Linked DNA regions of Astyanax mexicanus. The protein of the gene in region 1 purifies or fractionates together with the protein of each later gene. This does not show direct contact. Links are inferred from orthologs where the notes say so. Each region holds a gene or a part of one and is shown in the gene's direction. Other genes may lie near its edges.

The links.
Region 2: the proteins of ezh1 (region 1) and phf19 purify together in Homo sapiens (affinity purification with mass spectrometry; 4 studies listed by BioGRID and IntAct, counting the BioPlex papers as one, with this or other methods). This does not show direct contact. The link is inferred for Astyanax mexicanus from reciprocal best matches to the Homo sapiens genes EZH1 and PHF19.
Region 3: the proteins of ezh1 (region 1) and mtf2 purify together in Homo sapiens (affinity purification with mass spectrometry; 3 studies listed by BioGRID and IntAct, with this or other methods). This does not show direct contact. The link is inferred for Astyanax mexicanus from reciprocal best matches to the Homo sapiens genes EZH1 and MTF2.

What each region holds. Positions count from the first base shown.
Region 1 is NC_064426.1:22,692,743-22,700,228, forward strand, and holds the start of ezh1 (histone-lysine N-methyltransferase EZH1), read left to right. Parts: upstream 1-4,477; 5' UTR 4,478-4,663; intron 4,664-7,486.
Region 2 is NC_064419.1:1,743,892-1,751,289, reverse strand, and holds the start of phf19 (PHD finger protein 19), read left to right. Parts: upstream 1-4,357; 5' UTR 4,358-4,512; intron 4,513-7,179; 5' UTR 7,180-7,203; coding exon 7,204-7,383; intron 7,384-7,398.
Region 3 is NC_064411.1:55,195,547-55,202,840, forward strand, and holds the start of mtf2 (metal-response element-binding transcription factor 2), read left to right. Parts: upstream 1-4,226; 5' UTR 4,227-4,390; coding exon 4,391-4,395; intron 4,396-5,317; coding exon 5,318-5,519; intron 5,520-6,241; coding exon 6,242-6,323; intron 6,324-6,700; coding exon 6,701-6,793; intron 6,794-7,294. Other genes in the region: dipk1aa (divergent protein kinase domain 1A), read right to left, coding at 13-69. UniProt on the Homo sapiens protein: Polycomb group (PcG) protein that specifically binds histone H3 trimethylated at 'Lys-36' (H3K36me3) and recruits the PRC2 complex, thus enhancing PRC2 H3K27me3 methylation activity.

The sequences.
Region 1 (7,486 bases):
ACAAAGCAAGAACCGACATGAGGGAAAGGGAGCACGGACTATAAATAGAGGAACACACACACACGGGAAACAGAAAACACCTGGGGCTAAGGGGCGGAGTTACAAATGAACACAGGTGAGGGCAAGAAACACTGAGGAACACGGGTCACGTGGGAGACACACTCAAGGTAAATAAACACAGAAACACCAGACAGGGACCACGTGACAGGTTCTTCATCATGGAAAGACCAAAATTAAGCTCCCTCATTTATTTTTCTGTATATTTGATCTCGTTGTTACTATGACTGAGGAGGTCAATCTCAACACTCATTCCTGTTACCTAAATTAATTTTTAGATATTATTTGTTTATTTTTAAATAACAAATCCTAATGCTCTTGGCATATCCACCATTTTGCTTTTTTTCATATTTTTGCTAATTCAGTGCTAAAAACTTATTCCTGTTACTTTCAGTCCTGTTACTCAAAACATAAAATGTAACAAGAATGAGTGCCAGTAACAGGAGTGAGTTTACGTAACAGGATTGAGTATTGTACCCTGGTTTATTGATTTATTATTGTGAGTATTAATAAACCACTTTTTCCATTTCTGTTTGCTTCATGATTTATCCATTTGTTTAATAATTTGCATGATAATTATTTTAATCAAATTCAGGTTTGGGTCTTCCTAAAAAGATAAAAATTGTTTGCATATTATAATATGCATGCAAATATAGTGATTTTTGTCAGAAATATAATTTATTTGAACATGCAGTCAACCATGTCTTTAATATAAAGACTTTCTTGAGAGAAAATCTAAGGAATTTGTGGACTTTTAAACATGCTTTTTAAATGTCACATGAGTTTTGGTAACAGGACTGAGAAAAATGTAAAGGTTAAACATTATATTTATTTTGGAAAATTTACAACAAGCAACTGGCACCCCTTTGCAGTATTGGGCCCTTAAACAAGACACCTGACCCTCTCTGCTCCAGGCACAACCTTAATATAACACTGTGTGTAATCACTAGTGCATATGCACGTGTGTTCACTAAATGGTTTACCTGTGTGTCTCATCTACTGTATGTGTACAGGTATGGTAAATATGGCTGTCTTGGCTATCAGTTGGATACTCGGATGTATATGTTATTACTGCATTTAAGATTCAAACAAAAAGAGCTCTGTTCCTTTAGGACAGTTTTAGGGAGGGGGCTCTATATTGTTTATTCGTTAATCATAATGACATCAGCATCCCAAAGACTAGAGACTGAGCCTGACTGAAGTCTCAACCTGGGGTGCGTTTCCCGTACAACGACGGAGCCTAGAATTGAACTAACGTGGTACGATGCATCGTTAAACTAACTAACATCTGAAGTACGACCGTTTCCCGAAACCATCGTACTTTGTTGGTACCACAGAAGTCTGAACTATGTTGGTTTGAACCACCGTGGTCTTAACTAAGGTGTTTCCAGATGTGTTCGGCCAGACTTTCCCAGCAGAAAACGTGCAAAACTCACAATCTTTAAAATATTTTGCCAAAAATATGTTACTTATGTTTAGGCTATTTATATTGTAATTATCACCACAACATAATGGACAACAATACTATTAATAAAATTACAATGAACTGCAAGTAAAATTTACACAATAATTGCTATATATTATATAGCTTAATTATTAATTGTAACAGACATTGTTACTTAAAAAAACATACACATATTTGCTATTGCAATATTTTTTTTTATTAAATAATCACCATTCTGAATGAGTCTTATTAAAATGAGACCTGAGAAATGTGTGTTACTCAGTGGTTCAGCAGTGCGCCTACAACCGTGCAGCACTCTGCGTTCTGTCGAATTGTGCAACCCATAGAGATGTGCTTCTTAACACCAGTGCCCATGCGTGGAAACATTTTTTATTTATTTATTGTTTTTTTTATAGTAATTTTTTTTTTGGTGCATTAAACAACCAGAAACCCCTTGACATTATTTCTGAGTATTACAAATAAATGACAGCTAATAATAATGAAAGTAATAATAAGTGAGCAATAATAAAAAAATAAGGGTTATAATCACCCCTAATAACCCTAAACTGTCTCCTGATATTTTGATTCAGGCTGTCCAAATATTCTACCTAAAGCATGTTTAAATATGGGGCTTTTTCTAGCAATTTTATATTTAAAATTTAAATATGCACTAGGGTAGTACGCTTTGACAGGGTAGCAAAACTCGACAGAACATCGGATGGAAGCCTAGTTCGAATCCCAGTCGTGGTTTTATTCTCTTAATGTTTTTTTCATAATGGCAATTAATGTTATTATTTTTTACATATATATTAATGTAGCCTACATATTTCTACTTATTTCCTGTAATATATTATTTAACAAACACTAATTGATAACATTTGTATAGGCCTAGAAACACACACGTTGTACTGGCTAAATGATACGTTTTTTTCTCTGTCTGGCCCTGTTACCTCCAGAGGATAATTAGGTAATTCAAAACACCTGCTTATTGCATGTCTCTATTTATTTTAAGACACTTTTTACTTAGTTTTTTCTTGTTATGAATATATTATTAAAAGACACTTTCTTGTATGGATACATTTGTTTCACTGGGTACAAACAATGCAAATATACCCTCAAAGGTCCTTAGGGTACAGGTGTTTACGTTAAAGTCATTTTAGAGTATTACCCCAGTGACAGTTTAATAGCCTTATTCGGAGAGTGCATAAAGCACAGTGGGTTTAAAAAAAATATTAACTAATTCATAAATATGCACAGCACAAGTTATCTTTACTCAATAGATGCCTGCTTGAATAATTGACATACATCTTTCCAAGACTGTGAAATACATTTTAGCTAAAGAGCACTTCAGTGCACTTTTTTCACTACACTTTTCACTAATAACAACACATTACTGTGAAAACTGGCTCTATGCCGCCATCTAGTGGGATCATTTAGTCAATGCAGCTTAAAAGAAAAAACGTTATGTGAAAGCAAGTTATTTTTCAGTGACTAGAAAATAATAAAAATTAGATAATAACAATAATAATAATAATTAAGTAGTTGATTGTTTAAATGGTTTTGATGTTTAAACATTATGCATTAGTTTTTTTTAATTGTTATTATTGTTGTTTTTATAATGAATATTTAATAATAACATAAATAATGCATATAAAATGCAATAAATAAATAAACTTAAGAATATGCAGCACCTTGTTTAGACTGATTTTTATTTTTTCATGCCATTAATTTTAGTTATTTGTTTGTTTGATTTGCTAATAACAGTAAATTAAAAAGGCTATTTATTTTTTACACATGACACTGATATTAAAATATTCTTATAAATCATATTTTTTATTTACAAATAATTTATGTAAAAGAAATAACAAACAAATAAATACACTTGAGAATATGCGGCGCCTGAATATTATTATTAATGATATTATTATTATTTATATGTATTATTATTATAGCCCTCCAGGTTCTGTATGGGTGTTTTATGTAATGGACTGTACCGCTGCTCTCCGCTGGGAGGCGCTGCGCTTCTCTGTCTGAGTCACGTGTCCGGGCGGCAGCGTGGTTTGACTCCAGCGTTGTTTTTCCCACTCGTCCTCTGACAGGCCCCGCCCCTCCAGAGCTCTGGAACAGAGGACCGCTCACTAACAAATCCCAGCACAGGGGGCTGGTCACTACTAACCAATCCCAGCACAAGAGGGCGGGGCTTGTGGAGTACAGTTAGAAAATAACAAAATAAATATATAAATACATACATAAATACATACATACAGTCAGCATCACCTCCACACAGATCTGCGGAGTTTGTGTGGGCGTTACTCACACCGGCCCATCGTGTGTTCTGTTCCTCTATAATTACAACATGAGCCTAATGACAAAATTACATAATACAATAATAATATATATATAATTATAATAATAACACTATAGCATTGTTGTTGTTGATGACATGATAGAATAGAATACGTATTCTATATAATAGAATGCTTTATTTTATAACTAACATTATTACTACTAGCACTATTACTCCTACTACTGCTACTACTACTACTACTACTACTACTACTACTACTACTAATAATAATAATAATAATTATTAATCAATATTAAATAGATAAATAGTACATAGCAGTATACATACCAGCAATACTACGCATATTATTGATGGCAATGCTAATAACATTACAAACTACCATTATTGTACTATTATAAATGTGTCCAATACACAGTAATGTACATATCAGCACTCTAGCAACAGTAATACATCTGCATTATATCTATTATATTAGTGATATTAATGATAAACATAATATTATTACAATTTTATTACACTATTATTATTATTATTATTATTACTGTGTATAATTGTTTGAATGATGTGATGAGTCATGTTTCGTGTTTGCTGCTGCTCGGTGTGTGTGTGTAGTGTGTGTGTGTGTCCGCTCCGTGCAGTCGCTCCTAATAAAGACGTCACACTCCGACCAGCCCCGAGTGCGCAGCTCCTAAAAACTGGAAGGCAGCTGAGCTCAAGTCTGGGCCGCTGCGGTGCTGCCCGCGCGCTACGGGTGACGCGGGGCTGCGGGCTGGTCCTCGAGGACGCTACAGGGGTCTGGAGCTCGAGCCCTTCAGCGTGTGGAGACCGAAACGCGGGGACACGCGAGTCTGAAGGTATTCCGAAACTGTGTGCACTATGTGTAAATGTGTGCCTGCGTGTGAACGCGCGCGTTCGTGTGTGGTGTGTGTGTGTGCGTGCGTGCGTTTCACAGCAGCAAAATCCCCTGCAACGTGCGTTTATAGCAGCGTTCCGCGTGCGCGCTGCCTCGCATGACGCTAAAACTAGCACGCTACATACACGCCGCGAAGTGGCGCGTGCATGCATGCGTGTGCATATGTATGTGCGTGTTTGTGCTGTAGCAGTAATTAGGTGGCCATCGTACAGAAGAAGTGATATTCTTCGACGCAAGCGGCTCGTGCGTGGTGTTGCCCGTCAACCCGCCACCCCCTCTCTTTTTTCCTCCGCACGCACGATCTCTCGTGCACGCGTGCTTTTGGGTTTTTGGTTCTCTGCAAAAGCAGATCTTTGTTGCTAATTTTCAGGAGGATTCGAGAGGATTTGGGGGCTGTTATGAAAGTGCACTGCGCACTTTTTAGTCGCGAGGAGTAGGAGGGGAAGGAGTCACGCCCACTTCCAGTCTCGAGACGAGAGGTTGCATGTGTTTTTCTCCTGCTACACGCGTGCACGCGCGCTCACACCACCGTCAGACTGCTCACTCACACTGAAGCTCGCTGTTTTCCCCCGTATTCAGCCACCGGATGTGGAATGTTGGTGTTAAATTTAGGTGACTACCCTAATAATGCTGACCGCGCGCGCAAGTGAGTGACTGTTTTTTCCAGGAAGGGCTTTAAAGCCCTTTAAACAGGGCGAGCTGCAGTTCTGTTTTGCTGCGAGCAGGAGGCGCCGGAGCGAGCAGAGCAGGCGCGCGGGAGTAATGCTCCTCAATGACAAAGTTTGAGTCATGTATTTTGTGAGTCTGTGTGTGAAGCTGCTGTGTATGAGATCTTATCACATCTGGAGAAATTCACTCCAGAGCATCATCAGTGTGAATCTACTGCTATCCTCTGTCTTTGAAACATTTTTATGTTCTTATTAGTTCTGTTTTTCAGCATTTTTTTCCAAAATTGACTTCTTATCTATATATTTGTTGACATCTGGCATGATATGTGTTTTGTTTCTGTAGGTTATTTTAATGGGGCATTCACACCTACCTTCCCAGCTGGCATTTCAACGTTGTATAAACGTTGAATCAACGTTGATCAAGGTAGATGTTGTGGTTGAATCAACGTTGAATCAACTGTTGATTTTGAAAAGGAAATCAACGGTAATATAGCAACGTTGTGTCAACGTCATATGTTCAACCACTAATAAACCATAGCTCACTAAAATGAGACAATCGTATGGTTAACAAAGTGTTAACAATAAACTTACATCACTGTAGTAAAGCTGAGTATAAAGAAAGTTACCCACCACTACCAATTTGATTCAACATTTGATCTCAAAAACACTAAAACCGTAAAACTATTAGAACATGAACATGATGTTAATGTAAAAGCAGTTACTGCAAATAGAAGTAAAACACTGTTTCATTCGTCCATCCCACCATTTTTATAAATTATATGGTGATGAAATGTAAAATGCTGATTCAAAAGGCAGAACGTTGAGTACATTATGTTGATTCAACATTAAAATTTCAATAGCGAAAAAGCGTTGTTTAAACGGTGAAACAACAACATACATTACTTTAGTCATATTTCAACCACATTTCAACGTTGAAGTTCGGTTGTGTGCCAGCTGGGTTGATTTCAGTTTGGTCTGGGTCAAAGTAGCAGTTGTGAAAGGGGCCATAAACCATGAGAACATTTGTTTTGTGAACAATGTGTTGTCCCAGAAAAGAGCTGTTCTGTTCTATGACGGATGCTTAGTTTCACTAAGGGTGTTTTCACACCTGTAGTCCGTTTCTCTGGTCCGAATCAATTTTATGTTTTCTCCCTTTAGTTTGGTTTGGTTTCACACAGGCATAAACATAAATGCACCAAAATGCGCACCAATCAACCACGTGAGCACGTTGTGTCCTCTGATTGGAGAAGATTCTGTGCTCCAGCGCGTATATCTGTGAGGTGTGAAGCTGCTTTAATTTAAGGCTTATTACAACACCTGTGAACAAACGCTTTATCATGTAATAATGTAACAAAGACAGAAACCTTGGTGCAGACAGGTCTGGATATTTAGTTGTGAAGGGTTAGATTAAATATTGCTATTTGCTACAATATCACGTAGCAAATATCACGTGTAGGTTATTTTAAACCTGTGTTTTAAAGCCTAGGATTGCAGGTTAGCCACAGTGCTAAAAGCTGTGATTCAAACAAACACAGCAGCTGGTCTCGGCAGTGTTGTTGTTTCAACAAATTGCCAGCTGTCACCTTTGTTTGCAGTGCTGTCGTAAACAAAAACACAGATTTCTACAGACTGGAACTGAATCGCCTGTAATCCAGATTCTTCTTGAGACCTGCCTTTGCTGTGGAGTGACCCACTGCCACAACTGCTGGTGTGATGACCTAGGGAGCCATCAAATGCAATAGTTGGTCACCCCTAGTAGTGATATGAGGGACTCTTACAGCTCAGCTGTAAGGATATCCTGTAGCCACATGTGTTTCTTCTCATGGCAGGGTATTTTTCTGGCATTTTTCAGCAGGATAATGCTCACCCTCACACAGCACAGCTTTTACAGGAATGTCTCCACAAGATTGCATCCTTGGTCTGCCCGGTCCCCAGATTTATCACATCCAGCTACAACATATGTGGGCAAAAGTGCTACATGATGCCAAATGATTTTCAACTTGTATTCAAAGTGGCGACCCAACAGGGTACTACAGCCTTTTTTTTAAGATTTTTGAGTCGTTCTCAATAAACATATTCTTTTACTATAATATTGT
Region 2 (7,398 bases), on another chromosome or scaffold:
AATAAAATCTGATGAATAAATGGCACGCTCTAAAATGTGATTTTGTGTTTTAAACAGGAGAACTACAGTAATATTATAATATTTTAATACAAATCAATAAAATGATTTTAGAGAACTTAAACCTGAAAACTTAAAAATGCTTATTGAACCACTTTTGAACTTTTAGTATATTAAACGTTTCAATGCTCTTTTTTACAGTGTTGTTTTATACAGCCTTCCCATAGGCTCCTGGCTCCTCCATATATTTGCATATTGGGTGTGGCCTTTTCCTTACTTACCATCTTTGTGTTGTCTGTTGCTCAAAGCTGCCTTATCCTAGTTGTGCATTAGTAATGCAGTAAAGTAAGTGTTGATTGCCAGGCCTCGGTGTTTTAGGCTGTATAATAGTTTATTTATCTACATTTTTTAAGCCCAAAATACTTGAAGAAAAAAACAGTTGAGTTTACAGAACTGTTGTTGTGTGAATGAAACTTAAGTTAAGTTAAATAAACTTAAAATTGTATATATTTACAACTTAACTGAGTCAAAGCTAAATGACTAAATGAATAACTTGACTAAGTTAAGTTGAGCCAATGAATATTTTTTTACAGTGCAGCATTTGACTCAATAATGCACAAAAAAAAAATAATATTACAGCTTGGTTTGGCTCCTGCGCTTTCGCAGATCTCCACAAAGCGGACTTTATCTGTAAACAGGCACTGATTGGATCGTTCCAAGAACTCCTACTCACATTGTCTCTATAACATAAAGCCTCCAGCATTGAATTGTGGAGCAGAGGACTTTTAATTAACAGTTTTCTCTAATATGTTGGTTTTCCATTCAACACTTCTTTCAACGTGTTAGTTGTACAATACCTGTGTTGAATTTTTCCTCATATTAGTCTGTGACTCACTCTGGCCTAGTTTTTTCAATGCAATTTAAATTAAATAATGCAAAATGTGCCATAAAGAGAAACAAAGACCCAAGACCCCCTTTATTTGGTGAAAAGTAGGACTTGTTTCCAGAAAAATGCCTGAAAAATACTTTGTAATAAAGAGAGGTGTACTAAGTATTGTTTTATTTTTACTTAAAGATCTCCTTCTGCTAAAATCCACTTTTTCTTGTTCTTGTTTGTGAAATACTTTAGGTCTCTCTGAGTTGTTTATGATGCTGCATATGAAACATATGTTTCTCAGGCTCCCTTGTCTGCAGTAGCTAAGAAAAATAAAATCCTTAAGAATATAGAAAAAATATAATTATTAATAAAAAAAAAATAAAATAAGATTTTAGTTACTTTCATATATGAAACACTCCTCTAACGTGACTTCTGTTCATTTGTAGTTTACAGTAACACTACAGAAAGACCACAAATTAACTTTGTACATATATTAAAAGGTATGTTTCTGTATAGTGTTATAAATTCGTGCTCCATGTGCCCCCTTTTGACTTTCAGCACCTGCCCCTCCAAAGGTCTCTGCACGGCCCTGCGTATCAATGTTTCGTTCACATTACACACAGAAACAGATCACTTACATTTGTAAATGTGAACCAACAAGATAGATAAATCCAATCTGAGCAAAAAAATCAGTTTTGAGCAGAGGTGGAAAGTAACTAATTAGATTTACTCACATTACTGTAATTGAGTAGATTTTATGAGTAATTTGTAATTTTTTGTTATAGTTTTGAAAATAGGTAATTTTACTTTTACTCAAGTACATTTTGACACAAGTAATTTATTTTGCTACATTGGAAAATTCCCCATTACTGAGTAAATAATAAAAAGCTGGGAAAAAAACAAATCGTCTGAATTAAAAAAAAATTTTTTAAAGAGTTTTGTTCTCCATGGTAGCGCAGCTAAACGTCTCCATGCAGTGTTTATTTTGGTTAGCGGGAGAGATGCTGTGTAAATCAGCTGGGGTCTGTGTGCGTGACTCGGGGGAACCGGTGTTCTGTCGAGTTATGCTACCCATCCATATGTGCTTCTTTACGGCACTGCGCATGCACCGACCAAAGTTTTTCATAATAATTCCTTATGTTTTTATTAGAACCATTAAAAATTCTGCTTGGATGTTAAAAAAAAACGTGTAAAATAGCAGTTAAAGCATATGAATGGCAAGTTAAAAAATAATAATTACCTGTACAACTATAAAAATACAGTTTATAGTCACCTATATGACCATAACCTTTTAACTTTTTAACAGTAAAAAAAATGGATCATAGAAACCTGTGCCACTTGTTCTTGAATATGTTTTATGGGATGGTCTAAACAAATACTGCCCAAATTATTTCATTTAATAATTATTTAATTTATGATTTGTACTTTTTTACATCAAATAAATAAAAGTAACTATGTAACTTTTACTCAAAGTAAATTTTAAATTGAGTACTTTTTTACTTTTACTCAAGTAGATTTTTAGATGGGTACTTTTACTTTTACTTGAGTACAATTTTAGCAAAGTAAAGGTACTTTTACTTAATTACAATTATTCAGTACTTTTCCACCTCTGGTTTTGAGCAATGTGGCTTGTAATGTGAACTTTGCTGCAGTTGTGAGCCAGCATGAAGTTACACTTCATAGTGAGAAAATCAATTATTTTGTGTAATATTTACAATATAACCCATCAATCTTCTTTTTTACAGTGTGTAAAGCAGAATAATAATGTGGAAAGTTGATAAATATTCAAGAGAAAGGAAAAGGTGAATCCTGACACACGCTGCAGCTTATGGCCACGAAGACTTAACAACTAGACCTGCTATTTTTCACGTCCACTTTGGCCTATTGCCTGATGTTGCTGAGTAAACAAGAAAATGACCACAAATGACTAAATGGGATTGGTCAGTGTGACCTGGCAGAAAGGGCAGACTGGTTCTGCCCTCATTCTCAGTAATGTCACCCAAATGTCTCCCAGCAGGGGAAGGATTTGAGTTTATTGCTCAGTAATGACGGATTCTGCAGATACCCTACAAACTCAACACATGATCGAGCTGCACTGAAAGCTGTAAAATGTGTTATAATGAGTTAATAACATAGATATAAGTCACTGAAAAAGTTAACAGCTGTGTCTTTTTATTTAAAGTCTAATAAAAATGTATTATTTCCACACTGAAAAACATGAAAAACACATGTTGACACAACTCAGTTAAGGCGTCATCTTGCTTTTTCTCAGTTAAGTTAGATAGTCACTCGTTATTTTACACATTGTGGGCTTTAAAGAACTTACATACAATATTTATATGTATGTATATGTAGCTAAACTCTGTTCTTTTAAAGTAATAAAATATATAATTTATTTTATTTTATTTCTTAACCTTTAAAAATACTTTTAATGACTTTTATTGTGTTAATTTTCGCCTCTGTAGCGCCCTCTCAGGTTTAACTGTGCTATAGGTGAGGATGATGTTTCCGTGTACTTTGGTATGCAGACGCATCACAATGATTTGCAAATTAGTCGATTAATAATAATCAATAATACCAATACTTTAAAATGACCTGAAATAAACTCTTTTTACATTGATTTCCATTGAAAGTTTTGAAGGATTTTTCTCTCTTTTGTAAAGTTGCTGTTTTGAAAATACTTGTTTTTCATTGGACAGCGACGATATTTATGCTAAATAAAACAGTTTGTCTATTTTGTAGACAGTAACTTACCAATACATTGATTTTGTATAAAAACAGCAAACGAAAATAAAGTTATTTAACAACAAACATCCTACACCAAAATTAAAAGTGCAGGATATTTTTGAGCTTGTATTAGCTAGTAATTCTGTTCAAATGTGAAATTAAAATATTGTATTCATGTATTACACATAGAGTTTTCTGTTTTAAGTGTTTATTATATCTTTTATTGTTGCTTATTATTATTAAGCTTATTATAAAGCTTTTGACAGAGTGGGCAGTGTGCCAAGTCCTGCTGGAAAATGAAGTCCGCATCTCCATAAAAGTTCTCAGCAGATGGAAGCATGATGCTCTTCAAAAAAAAAGCAGTGTGTAAGACTGGTGGAGGAGAACATGATGCCAAGATGCATTAAAAAAAAGTCAGGGTTATTCCACTAAGTATTGATTTCTGAACAAAATTAATAATAATGAATAATATATAAAAAATATATTTTTTATTTTTTTATTTTTATTTTTTGGAATTTGGGAGAAACCTATAAATAGCAAAATCAGAGAAACTGATTCAGAAACTGAAGTGCTCTCTTGATTTTTCGCAGAGCTGCATATTTATATATATATATATATATATATATATATATATATATATATATATATATATATATATATATGTGTATAAATATATACTGTAGTATGTGGAAGGGGAGGGGCTGCTGCTGCTGCTGATGGTGCTGAGCTTGAAACCTAAATGATTCGCGGGAAAAGGTGAAAAAATGGCGACTTGCAGAGGCTCGGTTTAAGCGGAGCAGAGCAGCTCAGGACTGAAAAACTCACTTTATTCCGCGAATGGAAGCGCTTACAGCGGGCTAAACACTCCGGGAACAACTTCCACCCTCCTGAGGAGAGGAGAAATCAGCACGGTAATGAAGGAAAAGAGCGAGAAACTCGTTTATTTACTCTAAACACACACTGTTTAATAACTTACAGCCTGATAACTTACTGTAACTGTTACACTAACTCACTACTGTATTCAACGCTGTTTATCCTAACTTTTATACTTTAGATAAACCCATACCTGTGTCTTTAGTGTAGTTAGAGGCGCGTTTTCTCTTTTATTAATGTTTAAAATGAGTGTTAGCGCGTTTTCCAGCGTTATTATTCAGTTATTCACAGCTAAAGGTAGATTTGAACCAGGGAGGGAAAATCAGTTTAGCTGCTTTAGCTCTAAATATCGTTTTTACGGGAAATACACACTTATCTAAGCGTTTTTGAGCTTTATTAGCTCGCTAAGTTTATTTTTTAGTGTGTTTTTAGTATGTCAGTTAGTTAGAAAGTGCAAGCTGGAGTTTATTAAGTTAGTAGATTTGTCAGTGGTCCTGAAAGTGAAAATCCGCTCCGGGATTTCGTTCCAACTGCCGGGGCAGCGCCGCTCCAGTTCCAGTTGGAACGAAATCCCGGAGCGGATTTTCACTTTCAGGACCCGGATGACTCCTTAACCTCTATTTATCACTATTCATAAAAAATACATCTCTGGAAAAAATAAAGAGAATCTTCAATTTCTGTATTAGTTTCTCTAATTTTGCTTTTTATAGATATATATTTGACTAAAACGATCATTGTTGTTTTATTCTATAAACTAAAAACAATATTTCTCCCAAATTCCAAATATATTCCAAAAATATCATATCATTTAGAGCATTTATTTGCAGAAAATGAGAAATGGCTGAAATAACAAAAAAGATGTTCATAGAAGTTCATATTGATAAGAATTTTATTTTTAAAAAATAACCCTGTTTTTTAATCACAGTTTTTTTTCATGAATCTTGGCATCACGTTTTCCTCCACCAGTCTTACACACTGATTTTGGATAACTGTATGCTTTACACTCCTGGTGCAAAGATTCAAGCAGGGAGTGTGATTGCAGTTCAACAGTTGGTTCAAAGGGTGGTTCTGTGGTATTATCAATGGTCAGAAACGTTTGGATAAATGTTGGAATGTAAATACATGTGAGTAGCAGAGCTGTGTCCAGAAACGTTTGACTGAATGATGTAGATGCATACAGATACAGTTGGGTAATAGAGCTGTGTGTAAAACGTTTGGGTAAATGTTGGAATGCATGTATAAGTGGGGAATAAAAACGTTTGGATAAATGTTAGAGTCCAAAAACATTTGCAGAAATGTTGGAATGCAAACAGAGTTGTGTCCAGAAACATTTGGTTAAATGGGGAAATGCAAATACATATCGGTTTGAGTCCCAAACATTTGGCTAAATGTTGGAATGCTAAAACATTTAGACAGTTTAGCTGTTTTAACAAATCTTTGGCTATTTCTTAAGGTTTGAAAATTAGGCTAAATGTTGAAATGCAAATGCATTCGGCTAATAGACCTGTGTCCAAAATGTTTGGAAAAATGTTGGAATAATATCTGGGGTTAGCAGAGGGCTACAGGTCGATATACTTCGAAAAGAGCTAGTGTTTAGCGTGTTTAGCCGCTAATGCTAATACTGCTGGAGAACTAAACTGAAACTCCTGTATAACGCTGCATTTTCCTGCTACTTAATAGCTTACTAGTATTTAATAATATATGTAGATTTTTATTTTTTTATTGGTTCATAAAGTATAAAGCTATACTGTTATTTCTTTGATTGTGCAGATTTTATTATAATATATAATTAGTTTTGGTTTAGAGACAAAGTTTACAGACAAATGTCAATGCATTCCTATTGGAGTGCTTTGTTTGGTGTGCTTACTGTATGATTACTGTCATATAATACATATATAATATATAAGAATAATAGTAAGAATAATTAAACTGGGGTTGGTGTGGTACAGTGGATAACACCACTGCCCACCAGTGAGCTACCATGTGGGAGATTGGGGTTCAATTCCAGGTCTGGGTGACTGAATGCTGCGCTACGCCAATAATAATAATATATTAGTCCTTGGGCTAGACTCCTAACACTACGTTGGCCAAACTCTATAATAGGAAAACCACTTTAAAAAAGAGTGTCAGCTACATACCATAAATGTACATGTAATAGTAATGCTATAGTAAAGTGTATAACTGCATAAGGACATTAGTGTGATTGTCCACTGTTCCACCAAGAGTTAACGTTAGCCGACGTCGTTACTACTCTGCGTCTTCGCTGCTTTTGGTTTCACTCATTTCTTGGCGGATTCTGAGTCATCCAACAGTCCCTGCAGCTCCACAGAGCAGGTACTTTTTCTTTCAGCCCTTTCTTTACTTGCAAAGTGAATCAAAACTGACAGAGTGGACCGTTTGTGGCTGAATTTACATTTGTGGTTTAGAGAACAGCACTTCCTTTTGGTACCCCGTTTATATGTAGGCCTGATGGGTTAGCTAACAAAAGTTGCAGAGTAGGTAAATCTGATGCTTCAGCTCATATATGCACCTCAGAAACTTCTGCAGAAACATCTCTGCTGACATAAAACAGCTGATGTATTTGTGTTAGAGAAGATAAATGTGCTGTATCAGCAGAATTCTGATTAAATCTGAATAAATGTGAATGATGCTGACCCCCTGGACCAGAGCTGTAGTCTAATGTTCTGCCGGTTCTGTCTCCTCAGGGACTGTAGGCGTGTGAGGTAAGTATGTTGGAGGGAGCCTACCGGGACAGCTACCTGGCTGTGGGTCCGGACGAGCTAGACGCCAAACGGCTGCTGCCCAAACTTGAGACAGTTTGCAGTGATCTCGAGAGCAAGCTCACCGTCGGGCAGTACGTCCTCTGCCGTTGGTCTGACGGCCTCTATTACCTGGGGAGGATTCAGAGGGTGAGTCATGAGACT
Region 3 (7,294 bases), on another chromosome or scaffold:
ATTTTATCCAACCTGAAAGTGGTAGTAAGACTTTGACATCCAGGCCCGTGGAAACAGACCCCTCGCCATAGCAGAAATGGGTCATTTCAGGGACTGTGGAGCTGGAAACAGGTATATAAAGAAGGAAAAAGGAGATATTAGATATAAATGATGATTAAACCAGTGTGCAAGGCATATACATTGATTTTGAGCAGGTTCAAGCGTTGCTGTTTTTGGAATTTTCCGTTCCACCTTAAATGGAGCGGCTGCTACATTCAGGCGCACGCAGGTTGCCTGCGTGCGCCTGAATGTAGCAGCCGCTCCATTTAAGGTGGAACGGAAAATTCCAAAAACAGCCACATTGCATGGTTTATCTCCTTCGCTGCATACTCACCACTAATCCACGACACAGATACACCTTTCCCTTAATCCATCCTATCGTTCAAATGCTGATTTCTGCATATATATCCTTAATCTAATCCAAAAATCTATATTTTTATATATATTCATGTCACTTTCAGTCACTACAGTCCCATAACCACACCGTCAGTTCACTGCTGCTATATCCAATGAAATCTCTTAAAGGTGCAGAACGCACTTTTGTGTGGGCCGACATATAATATATAAAAAATATAATATAATATAATATAATATAATATAATAATAATAATAATGAACGTATAAAAGTACATAATGGTTTCTGCTGCCCTCTAATGACCGTACACGCGAATAAAACTGTAGTCAAAACGATTAAAAACTCAATTTAGTGTGAATACAACAAATTAAATATATATATATAATATAATAATATGTAAAATATGTAAAATAATAAATAAATGAATGTATTAAAAAATGTAATTGTACAATACAATAATGTAATATACAATAATATAGTATTTTTAAAAAACTAAAATTATTTATATTATATTATTGTACAAAAAAAATGTCATGGCTTTTAAAAGAACACGTTTACGTGATTACTTAAATAATAAACAAGACAATACTCATAATTATAAATTATTAGACTTATTTCTATAATACAATTTAAGCTTTGTCCTAATTTTAAAATATTTAAATGTTTAATAAAAAAATGTAAAATTTTTAGCCTCTAAAAACATTAATTTGTCCAAAAAAGTATGGAGAAATTAAATTTCCCCAAAGCTAAAATATATATGTTAAATGAATGAACTTCTGTTGAATTGTTTTATATCAACTTTCAAGCTACAAGTTACAAGTTAATTATTTGTTGCAAAAGTATTTATATGTTTAATATATATATATATATATATATATATATATATATATATATATATATATATATATATATATATAAACTCAATGTAGTATGACTACAGCCAATTAACTGATTTAAACGTAAATGTTATTTTTTAAAACAAAAAATAATAGTATTATTGTAAAAAAAAAAACATTGGTTTAGCTTTAAAAAACATTATATTTTAAAAAAAATATTAATAGTTGTATGAAGTTGCCTTTTATTTTATTAAATCCAATGTACACAACACAACAAAATTAAACAAAAAGTAAAATAATATTAAACTACAAATCCCAGAGAGATGTCACAGCGTGACAGCTTTTGTAGTCTTTTTTGTCATTTTTATTTTTATATATGTTTAATCTAATCTTTGTGTCTAAATTAGTACTTTATTACTTATTAAGAACCTCTAATGAACTGTATATATCGTGGAAAACTTTGCCGTACTTTTATTTCAGAATTTTAATTATAATTATTTGTTGCAAAACCGTTTATATATTTTAAATATATATATATATATATATATATATATATATATATATATATATATATATATATATATATATATATATATATATATATATACTGGCTCTTTGTGGCTGTTTATTAGCCTCTAAAAAAACATTAATATAAAAAGAATCACATAATTAATTTTCTTTTTTTTCTATTCTACATTTTCACAACGCAAATCCTAAAAAAAAAAGTCAAATGCAATTAAACTACAAGTCCCAGAGGGCAGTGGAGCCGCCGCTACGTGAAGCGCACGGCAGTGACGTCAACATGCGACAGCTTTTGTAGTCCGTTTCAGGTAAACATTCGTAGAAACTGCATTTCTGTGTTTTTTATTGTTAGATGTTCGTTCAGAACGAATTTCCGTAAATGGCGTATTTCCTCTGGATCGTTTTTTCTATTTTATACTAGATTTGTATTTTAATCTTCAGTAAAATTAAGCGTAAATTAATATTAAATAGAAAAAGTAAGGCATTAAATCAAATAATATCATATAAAAAATATTATATCATTGTCTAACTAGACGCATTCAAGCTTCAACATTCAAGAATGAACATAAATGAGAATTAACAAATTAAAGTAACCCGTTAGATTAAATTGTTATATGGTTGTATATATTTTAATCTTCAATTAGTAAAAGCTCCGCCCACAAAAATAAACTAGTAAATACAGATTTAAAAAATAGGAGAGACATGCAAGAGGCCAATTAACATAACAATACATCTTTAAAATTTAAGTACAATATTAAATGATTGTAAATTGTATATGATTCTATTATTCTATAATATTATATACATATGAATCTATAATATTATATATTATAAATGTAATTACTGTATATATGTTCTAATCAGTTATTCAAAAAGCAGCTAGTCTCACACAATTCACTGCAACTTGAAACATTAAATAATAAACATGAATGCAGTTTACTGAAACTGCTTAAAAAACGTGTGTGTAAATAAATAAATAAATAAATAAATAAATAAATAAAACACCTCTTTCAAATTCAAATTTTGTGAGGGAAGAGAATGGGCGGACTGAGCGGGTTTACTGGGAGAGCGCCCACTGCCCGCTCAGCCTGTAATACCAGTACCCACCGCCCACCGCCAGAGGGAGCCCGAGAGAGAGAGCGCAATGAATGGGGTAAATGGAGCTAATCTGCTAAAACCCTAATTAAAAAATACCACTGTAACTATCTATTTATATCTCTCTCTCTCTCTCTCTTTACCTCTATCTCTCGTTCTCTAGCTGTGTTCGTTTCTCTGTCTGTCTCTTTCTCCCTTTCTACCTGTCTGTCTGTCTCTCTTTGTCTCTCTCTCTTTCTCTATATAGATGTCTGTCTGTCTCTTTCTCTAGTTATCTGTTTCTTTTTCCAGCAGATTGTCTGTCTATCTCTCTCTATCCCTCTCTGGCTGTCTTTCTGTTTCTGTCTGTTTCTCTATCTTTCTGTATGTCTGTCTCTTTCTCTCACTCTCTAGCTGTCGGTTTGTCTCTCTATGTCTGTCTGTTTCTCTTTCTTTCTAGCTGTCTGTCTCTCTTTCTAGTTGTCTGTCTCTCTAACTTTTGTTTCTAGCTGTTTTTCTCTCTCTCTTGCTGTGTCTGTCTGTTTCTTCTTTCTTTCTAGCTGTCTGTATCTCTCTTTCTTTCTAACTGTCTGTCTCTTTCTAGCTGCCTGTCTGTCTCTTTCTTTCTAACTGTCTGCCTCTCTCTTTCTTTCTAGTTGTTTGCCTCTATCTCTACCTGTCTGTGTGTTTCTCTCTCTCTCTTTCTAGCTGTCTGCCTTGCTTTCTTTCTAACTGTCTTCCTGTCTTTACCTGTCTTTGTGTTTCTCTCTCTCTCTATCTAGCTGTCTGTGTTTCCCTCTCTCTTTCTAGCTGTCTGCCTTTCTCTCTCTCTACCTGTCTTTGTGTTTCTCTCTGTATTTACCTGTCTTTTTGTTTCTCTCTTTCTACCTGTCTGTGTTTCTCTCTCTCTCTTTCTAGCTATCTGCCTCTCTCTCTCTACCTGTCTTTGTGTTTCTCTCTCTCTCTCTACCTGTCTTTGTGTTTCTCTCTCTCTCTCTACCTGTCTTTGTGTTTCTTTCTCTCTCTCTACCTGTCTTTGTGTTTCTTTCTCTCTCTAGCTGTCTGTGTTTCTCTCTCTCTCTACCTGTCTTTGTGTTTCTCTCTCTCTCTCTACCTGTCTTTGTGTTTCTTTCTCTTTTACTAGCTGTCTGTGTTTCTCTTTTTTTCTAGCTGTCTGCCTCGCTCTTTCTTTGGCAGACATTATTTTTTTTCTCTTTTACTAGCTGTCTGTCTCTTTCTTTCTAGCTATCTGTCTCTCTCTCTGCCTGTCTGCCTCTATCTGAACCCGGTAATATTGGGCTCTGGCTCGGCAGCGCCCCCTGGTGTGCGGTAAAGGCGGTGGCGGCGGTAGTGGGAGGTCTCGGCGGCTCAGGCTCTGTGGTAAAGCAGCTCCGCTCAGCGGGAATCCAACATGGCGAGCGCGGCGCTGCGGGGAGATCAGTCCGCCGCTCTCTGTTAGAAACCGGGGGAAATGCGGGGATAGCTGCGGGCCGCGCGCTCCGTGCTGAAGCCGAGCTTCGTGTTTTTCTGTGTGAGGTGCAGTTTAACCGCGGGAAGGGCCCGAATGAGGTGAGACAGCTGATAAACCCGCTATAAAACTGAACAATACACCAACAACAATAACTACTGCTCCCCCTGCTAACTAAAACACTGCTAATCCGCTTCACACTGCAACAATCCGGATTAAAATCCGCTTTCACACCGACACAGAACCGGAGCAGGCTTTTATACCGCTTCTCTTTATTACCGGCGATCCGAATTCAGCAAATATTCACCTTTATTATACCTTTACTCTTCAGATAATTAACAGTTACTGTAGGAGTGATTTACCTGATGCAGGGAGTAGCTTCTCTCCTATTAAACAACACTGTGCAAATACCCATCCTGTTTCAGAAGAGTCCAATTATCTATCTATCTATCTATCTATCTATCTATCTATCTATCTATCTATCTATCTATCTATCTATCTATCTATCTACTTAGTTATCTGTCTATCTGCATGAGTGTCTCTCTCTCTTAATAACTGTCTGTCTCTAGCTACACATTTTTATATCGTCTTAGAAGCTTATAGGTGTTTATAGTTCTATCTATCTATCTATCAAGATGTCTGTCTCTCTTTTTTTTATTGAACACATGTTAACATTCACAGTAAGGGGGGGGAGTATGTGAATGTTAACATGTTGTGTTCAGTAAAAACATGCAAATATAATTATGTGTGTGGTATTAGTTTAAGCAAACTGTGTTTGTCTATTGTTGTGATTTCTGGGCACATAACGTTGCTGAACCTAGACCTGAAGTATTGGTTTGAAATATTGATGAAATTAGCTGTAAAAATCAGGGATAATGGGTTTAGAAACACAAAAAGGTGGTTCTAATGTTATGATTGGTTGTTGTATTTTTTTAATTGTATGTTTTTTTCTTTGGCCTGCAGCTCTGCTGTACACACTTTCACCGAAACATCGTTTTCTGTTTTCTTCTTGTTTTAAAACAGAGACTCAACGGTGGCACACAGTCTGGGCTCCCATCAGAAATCTCCTTCCCAGCGCCGAGACCCGTCCCCGCCGTCGCTGTCCAGACTCTCTCTCGGAGATGGGCAGAGCGACGCCGACAGACTCGCCAGCAAGTTCGAGGAGGGGCAGGACGTTTTAGCTCGGTGGTCCGATGGCCTGTTTTACCTGGCGACAATCGCAAAGGTGAGCACAGATTAGGGGCGGGACCGAGCATCTGTATTGTGATTAGTGCAGGACTGTATGACCAAAATGTACAGTATATTTCGCACTATAAGGGTGCACCAGATTATAAGGCCCACTTTCAATAAACAACTATTTTCTAGCGGTTAACGGCTAAAGCCACACGATAACGCTACACTGAGGAACCCTGAGTGTTCCAGTAGTCCAGGGTGATATTAGGCAGCGGTTCGTGCTACGTAGCTTGTTTTAACACAGTCAGCATGCAGACCAAAGTCCAATAATACTCACCTCTGAGCAGGGAAAGAGCTAGCACTTAGCTTAGTAACGCTAATGCTGCTCCAGCAGTGCTAGCTAGGATTAGCAGCAGGCTACAGGCCGGTAATACTCACCTCTGAATGGGAAAATAGCTGTTAGCAGCTAATGCTAATGCTACTTTAGCCCTGGTACTGGAGAACAAAACTGAAACTCCTTCATAACTCTGTACTTCAGTGTTCATAGTGGCTTTATTGCTCATTAATACCTGACTGATATAATTTATACATAAGGAGCACCGGATTATAAGAAGCACTGATGATTTTGGGGAGAATTAAAGGATTTTAAGTGTACCTTATAGGGCGAATGATTATTATTATTTATTTATAGTTTTTTGCATGACTGGGCTTAAATAACTTTACTATATTTTATTCTGTGTTTTACAAAGTTGTTTTTCTTTTTCTTTTACACAGATAGACAAACAGAAGCATCGCTGTTTCGTGGTTTTTGAAGATCAGTCCAAATCGTGGGTTCTTTGGAAGGATATTCAAACAGGTAATACATTCACCTTTTCCCTGTGATCTACCTGCATCATTCAGTTTCAATATATATATATATATATATATACAGCTCTGGTAAAAATGAGGAGAGCACTTCTTCAGTTTCTGAATCAGTTTCTCTGGTTTTGCTATTTATAGGTTTATGTTTGAGTAAAATGAACAGTGTTGTTTTATTCTATAAACTACAGACAACATTTCTCCCAAATTACAAATAAAAATATTGTTATTTAGAGCATTTATTTACAGAAAATGAGAAATGGCTGAAATAACAAAAATGCAGAGATGCAGAGATTTCAGACCTCAAATAATGCAAAGAAAACAATTTTATATTTAGATTAAACTTACCATTTTACTGGTGCTGCTGTGTTTCAGGGGACAGTGGAGAGGAGATGCTTTGCACCATTTGCCAGAATGAAACCTCAGAACCGCCCAATGAAATGGTCATCTGTGACAAGTGTGGACAAGGTAATGTAGAGTTAAAACTCTACACTGTCTGTTTACACTTCTTTGCACCTTTTACTCAGACTATATTATACTTACATTTAAGCTATCTTTTGTCTTTATATATATATATATATATATATATATATAAGCAAAAGTATTGGCACAGACCCTTGTTGTATTGTAAATATAGTGTCTCCCGTTCTTTTATATTTACGGATGAGGATGAGAGTAACGTAATTTCAATTCTCTGTATGTCCTGTACATATGCAGTACTGACAATAAAAACTACTTGACTCGACTTATCTGATCACTAATTGCAGGTGTATAGGCCATAAGGTGGTCAAAAAGAGCTTAAAAAAATGATTTTGTTTCCTTCGTTTGGAAAACAGTTGAGTGTAAAAATTCAAAGTTGTGGCGCCGAGTGGTCCAGCAGTCTAAAGCGCTGCCACTATGAGCGAGCAAAATTGGCCCTGCTCCCTCCGGGTGGGTAGATGGCGCTCTCTCCCCACATCACTCCTAGGG